Linked DNA regions of Tribolium castaneum. Each later gene encodes a partner of the first gene's protein in a complex. Links are inferred from orthologs where the notes say so. Each region holds a gene or a part of one and is shown in the gene's direction. Other genes may lie near its edges.

The links. The genes of interacting proteins can lie anywhere in the genome.
Region 2: the proteins of V-type proton ATPase catalytic subunit A (region 1) and V-type proton ATPase subunit D are in contact, whole or in part, in a cryo-EM structure (PDB 9B8P), measured with the Rattus norvegicus proteins. The link is inferred for Tribolium castaneum from reciprocal best matches to the Homo sapiens genes ATP6V1A and ATP6V1D. Residues at the interface, in NP_001101788.1 of Rattus norvegicus: Ala366, Met368, Pro369, Ala370, Asp371, Ser372, Asp416, Ser418, Asp436, Lys438, Glu491, Gln494, Leu495, Val496; in NP_955418.1 of Rattus norvegicus: Lys4, Asp5, Arg6, Arg167, Ala171, Val175, Ile176, Arg179, Tyr186, Glu190, Arg194, Glu197, Tyr200, Arg201, Lys204, Ile205, Lys208.

The regions. Positions count from the first base shown.
Region 1 is NC_087402.1:9,102,514-9,105,584, forward strand, and holds the end of V-type proton ATPase catalytic subunit A, read left to right. Parts: intron 1-820; coding exon 821-972; intron 973-1,023; coding exon 1,024-2,161; 3' UTR 2,162-2,561; downstream 2,562-3,071. Other genes in the region: Sas10 (something about silencing protein 10), read right to left, coding at 2,574-2,666, 2,717-2,853, 2,900-3,071. UniProt on the Homo sapiens protein: Catalytic subunit of the V1 complex of vacuolar(H+)-ATPase (V-ATPase), a multisubunit enzyme composed of a peripheral complex (V1) that hydrolyzes ATP and a membrane integral complex (V0) that translocates protons.
Region 2 is NC_087402.1:2,631,137-2,634,394, forward strand, and holds V-type proton ATPase subunit D, read left to right. Parts: upstream 1-1,396; 5' UTR 1,397-1,507; coding exon 1,508-1,548; intron 1,549-1,656; coding exon 1,657-1,774; intron 1,775-1,820; coding exon 1,821-1,968; intron 1,969-2,025; coding exon 2,026-2,241; intron 2,242-2,287; coding exon 2,288-2,502; 3' UTR 2,503-2,747; downstream 2,748-3,258. Other genes in the region: AlkB (nucleic acid dioxygenase ALKBH1), read right to left, coding at 68-604, 650-876, 926-1,025, 1,073-1,171. UniProt on the Homo sapiens protein: Subunit of the V1 complex of vacuolar(H+)-ATPase (V-ATPase), a multisubunit enzyme composed of a peripheral complex (V1) that hydrolyzes ATP and a membrane integral complex (V0) that translocates protons.

The DNA.
Region 1 (3,071 bases):
TTTATGAGGAAATTGTTTAAATAAATAACTAATTACATTATAGTTATTTAAGCCAAAATTAAAAAAAAATTGAAAAAACAATAATAATAGAGGCGAACAGACATCTGAAACTTTGGACACGTCGACTTAAATATTTTTTTACTCTAAACCGATACAAAAATTGTTCAAAGGAAATGAGTCTTTCTAATAAGTAAAATGTGTTAAATTGTTCTTAGGTAAGTACTTTATAATAATATAATAATAATAAAAGAGCCAGTATCAAAATATGTGGAATTGACAAAAATAAATAAATCTAATCTAAAAACAAAACAACAAAAAAAACTTTTAAACGTTATCACGATAATTGTGATTGTAGTTAAAATTTAATTTGCCATGAACTCGAGGTTTGTCAATGCAAAACTAATGGCTACCTAATTCGAATTATTTTAATTCTGGATTATATCTTAATTTCTCGTTCTGTATACGACCAGAAATGTTTGAAACTTAATTGAAAAGGTCAAATAGAGAATCAAGCTAAGAATAAATTTCACACAAACCAGCCATGGTGAGATTAATTACCCAAGCAAGTTCTGTATCTTGACAATAAGAGCTAATCAAAACTTTTTTGATTATTTTCGTGTTTAGCTAGAGAAAATATTTCGGAAATAGCTATTTTTGAGTTGTGATATTATTTGTGGAACTTTGAACGTTCAAATGTTTTTTAATTTTAATTATAATTAAAATTTAATTTAATTTAATATTTAATTTTAATTATAAAAAGCCACTACTTTTAATTATTTTTCATTTGGGGAAAAAATTAAAAATTATCATTACGCTACAGGAAGTCGTCTTGGAGACGGAATTCGACGGCGAGAGGACCAAATACACCATGTTGCAAGTGTGGCCTGTGCGTCAGCCCCGTCCTGTCAGCGAGAAATTGCCAGCCAATCACCCCCTATTAACCGGTCAACGCGTACTCGACTCACTTTTCCCGTAAGCCCCCTTTCAAAAACTAGTCCCTTTTCTCTACCAATTTTTATTTAGGTGCGTCCAAGGGGGTACCACCGCCATTCCCGGAGCTTTCGGTTGCGGTAAGACCGTAATCTCGCAATCTCTCTCCAAATATTCCAACTCTGACGTTATCATTTACGTCGGTTGCGGGGAGCGTGGTAACGAAATGTCTGAAGTATTGCGGGACTTCCCCGAACTGACAGTCGAAATCGAAGGCCAAACAGAGTCTATCATGAAACGTACCGCTCTTGTCGCCAACACCTCTAACATGCCTGTAGCCGCCCGTGAGGCTTCAATTTACACCGGTATTACACTGTCTGAGTATTTCCGTGATATGGGTTACAACGTGTCGATGATGGCCGATTCCACCTCGCGTTGGGCCGAAGCTTTGAGAGAAATTTCCGGTCGTTTGGCTGAAATGCCCGCCGATTCTGGATACCCCGCGTATTTGGGGGCCCGTTTGGCTTCGTTTTACGAGCGTGCAGGGCGTGTTAAATGCTTGGGTAACCCTGATCGTGAAGGTTCCGTTTCTATTGTCGGGGCCGTATCGCCCCCTGGTGGTGATTTCTCTGATCCCGTCACCTCAGCTACCTTGGGTATCGTACAAGTGTTCTGGGGGTTGGATAAAAAACTAGCCCAACGTAAACATTTCCCTTCGATCAATTGGCTGATTTCCTACTCTAAATACACGCGCGCTTTGGACGATTTCTACGATAAAAACTTCCAAGAGTTTGTCGCGTTGCGTACTAAGGTCAAGGAGATCTTGCAAGAAGAAGAAGACTTGTCCGAAATCGTGCAACTGGTCGGTAAAGCCTCCCTAGCCGAGACCGATAAAATCACTCTTGAGATTGCCAAGTTGCTTAAGGAAGATTTCTTGCAACAGAATTCGTACTCGTCGTACGATAGGTTCTGTCCGTTCTACAAGACGGTGGGTATGTTGAAAAATATGATCGGTTTGTACGATATGTCGCGACATGCTGTTGAAAGCACCGCGCAGTCTGAAAATAAAATCACGTGGACCGTGATCAGGGATTCCATGAGCAATATTTTGTACCAGTTGAGCAGTATGAAGTTCAAGGACCCAGTTAAAGACGGCGAGGCGAAAATCAAAGCCGATTTTGACCAGTTGTACGAGGATATTCAACAAGCCTTCAGGAACTTGGAGGATTAAATTAGTTTTATTGTAGGCCGTATATTTAACCTCACTATAAAATTGCCGTCTTTCGATATTAATGTACAATATGTTTATAAATGAATTAGTTCATAGGTCTAAGTCCTATAGATTAGAGGTGAGGGTAAATTGCTAAATTTCGTCCCTTCATTCCAGTTACTTTTAAGGAATTTTTATTTTCGTGTTTCCGTGCAATTATCAGCTTTCCAGTATTATCGGGACCTTTTTTTCTTTACATTTTATTTTTTCGTTATTTACGCATATTTCGATGTTGTATATTTTATCATGTTATTCAAACGGCTACTTGTACAGTTATCTGTGTTAATATTAAGTGAACTAGCTAGAAAATAGCACAATAAATTGTTTTATTGTAAACAGAAATAAAAGCATTGTTGTTTCATATGCGTTTTTATTAAGTCTTAATTTTAATGCTCTTGGAAACACTTGCTTTAATCCCGGAAAGCTCCCCACCATATCTCGTCATTTCGGTTCGCGGCTCACGAACCTAAAAATAGCGCAATTAAATTTAAGAAAAAATACTAAAAGTTGACATACAGCTCCTCTCCTTCGTATTTTTGCTTTTCTAAACTTGTTCCTATGCTTCACTCTTGGATTTCTTTGTTCCTTCTTTCTGTGCGGCGTGAGACCCTTATTTTTGGCAATCTGGTAAGTTATAGCCCTCTTGCCAGGATCTACAACAAAACATGACTAAAAAATCGCAACAAACAAAAATCAAACCATTCTCGGGAACATTTGCCTCTTCGTCTTGCATTTGCTGTTCATTATCTGTTGCTTCTTTTTCGTCCACTTCTGGTTTAAATTGGACTTTTTTCCCTGCTGGTTTCTTGTCTTTCTTTTCCGTTTTGTTAACCAATGTGCTCAACACCTTTAATGTTTTTTTCGGAACTTC
Region 2 (3,258 bases), about 6.5 Mb from region 1:
AATGTAATCCCATGTAAATATTTATTTATGTAAAATAAAAATACCATCTCGTATTTATTTTTTTATTTCACGTTTTTTCGTCAGATTCGCTACAAAGCCGTTTCTGGCCCCTTTGCAACACCTGTCTTACATTAATATTAATCCTAGAATTGTTCAAATAGTCGCCGAACGGCTTCCATAACGTCTCCTCTTTACAGATATTTACAACGTTTTTGCAATCATTCGTAAAATCATTTTCTTCAAAACAGTTCCAGAACCTGGAATCCATTTGTAAAATTTTAGGAACACCGTGGTAGCACAGCCTTGACTCTTCACTCATTACTACAATATCGCCACTTCGCAAAAACATCGCGGAAGGCTCGTCGTCTTTAGTCTTGCCTCCTAATAAAAAAATTGCAGTTTGGCCAAAACTAAGCGAGATAAGCGGAGCTTTTAAGTTGTGTTCCGAATGGTCAGTGTGACCTGACAAAGTTGAGTCCATGTGGTAATAATTCACAATTGCCGCTTCAGCGTTAAAATGCAAAAAGTTAAGCGACTCCGCTATAAATCTACTCAACTCGGCTAAATCTTTCGGAAACTCTCCTTTATTTTCCTCAGCGTAGACCTAAAAAATTGAATTAGCTCAACTCGGGGCTTTATGACCCAGCACTTTGCTCTCCCAATCGTGGTGATAACCCAAAGTGACCCATCGCAACTTGTTCATTAATATTTTGTTGTTATTGTTCTGACAAACTTCCCACCACTCCTTGCCCTCAGGTACTAAATTTAAAGCGTCCAAGTTCGTCTTATTTGGGCGCTTTGAGTAGTCCTGCAAGCAACGCACCACCCAGTACCTCTGCCCGATACTGGTGAACGGATTTTTAATAAAAATCAGCCCTTGAAACGAATTATTTATTGCAGGTGAATTTTTTACAACTCTAGTTACCGGGATGGTCAACTAATTCGTACACTTCCCACGTTTTTACGGGGTTTAGGCCAAAATTGCTGGCAGAATTGCCGGTCTTTTCCAAATTAATTCTCCTGACCTAAAAATTGCCTTTCATTATGAAAAACAGAATACTGCCAGACTTGCTTTTGACGAAAATTTCTCACAGTTACTAAAATCAAAGACTTTTTCCAAATCAGGGGGCGGATTTTTGGACTTGTAATATTTAAAACAATCCTTAAACATAATTATTTTGTTTACATAAGCTTTTTACATCACCAAATGTGAGGTTACGTAAATGACAGCTTACGTAACGTCGGTAACGTCAAGGTTTCTACTATACCGGCACCAAAAATGATTATTTGGACGCCAAATTGCATAATTTAACAATAATTACTCTCCCGTCAAACGAATAAATTAAAAGCATGCCTAAATCTGTTGAGTTTCCTTCGTAATTTTGGTTTCGTTGGTTTAGAAATGGTTTAGAACTAATGTTTAATAGAGGACGCTGGGAGCGTTCTTGTCATATGTCACGCGGTCAGCTGACTGATCTCGTGAAGTACATGAAAATAGTGCTGAAAAATGTCTTCGAAGGATAGACTGGCGATTTTCCCCTCTCGAGGGTACGTAAGCACCCTTTTTGTAGCTTTCCAATTGCGTAAAATCCCGATTTTAACGCTTGACGGAAAAAAATTCGTTAAAAAAAAGGGAGTGACCCCTTGTTCTTTCAGGGCCCAAATGTTAATGAAAGCGAGGCTAAAGGGGGCCCAGAAGGGCCACAGTCTGCTCAAAAAGAAGGCGGATGCGTTGCAAATGCGTTTCCGTATGATTTTGAGCAAAATTATCGAGGTTTGTTTGATCTCAAATCGATTTTTTGTCCCAATGTGGGTTTCAGACCAAGACACTTATGGGCGAAGTGATGAAAGAGGCGGCGTTCTCGTTGGCTGAGGCTAAATTTGCGACTGGGGATTTCAACCAGGTCGTGTTGCAGAATGTCACAAAGGCCCAAATTAAAATCAGGACTAAGAAAGATAATGTGGCTGGTTAGGGCGCCCTAGCTTATTTTTTTTTACAATTGATTATTTTTTTTTGTTGTATAGGTGTGACTTTGCCTGTCTTTGAGTGCTATCAGGACGGGACTGACACCTACGAACTGGCCGGTTTGGCCAGAGGTGGCCAGCAGTTGGCCAAACTCAAGAAGAATTACCAAAGCGCTGTGAAGCTTCTTGTTGAGCTTGCGTCACTTCAAACGTCTTTCGTCACTCTAGACGAAGTTATCAAAATTACGAACAGAAGAGTCAATGCTATTGAACACGGTAATTAGTTTTGTTTTGTGTTTTTTGTGTGTGATTTTTTTCCTAGTTATTATCCCGAGGATTGAGCGCACTTTGGCCTACATTATCTCCGAACTGGACGAACTAGAACGTGAGGAGTTCTACCGTTTGAAAAAAATCCAAGATAAGAAGAAAGTCGCGCGTGCTAAAGCTGATGCCATAAAGGCCGATAACAAAGCCCGCGAACAGGCGGCTGAAGTGGCTAATCTGCTAGATGAAGGAGACGAAGATCTTCTTTTTTAAATATATTTTTTTAAGTGTTGTATAAATTTCTGTACAAAGTTGCAAACTTTGATATTACGTGTTTCACTATAGCCAAGTATTATTAAGTCGCTGAAAAATCGGTCAGTTGCGAAGTTTAGGGGTTGGTTTCAAATTAGAGCGATAAGTGAAAATTCCATTTTTTTTCTAGTTTGTTGATTTAAGCGTAAGTTGTTTTAATTGAATGTATATTTACAGTTGATATCAATAAAATAGTTGACACGAAACCGCTTATTATTTATTTGACCTTTGACTTCCTCATTGGCACAGAATAAACATGAAAAAAAAATTCTTTCGCTTTCGCCAGTCTTGTTAAAGATATGTACAAGAAACACGTAAGAGAGAAGTTGGAAAGAATTTAATTTGCTACAAAAAATTCGGTGACATCATATCTTTATCCTAAGACCTTCAAAACCGCTAAAGCTATTTTACGTACCAAGGGAACACAAAAGCAATTTTTATTACTTTTTCTCTTTAACCACATTTGCAGTCTTTTGCAAAATATAAAGCTGTGTACAAATGATTAATTTTCTATTATAATTTTTTTTACATTATACAAAAACATTTAGGCTTGCATGTTTAATAGGCTGAGAAAAACTGACGACTAAAGTCTGAAAATTATTTATAAAATTTTTAATTTTTCAAAACTCTGCTAATACTTCGGCTAAAACGTTTAATGATACAAGAAAAATGTTAGAAAAAAAGTTGTAGAGAATTAATTTTTTTACAAAAACGTCC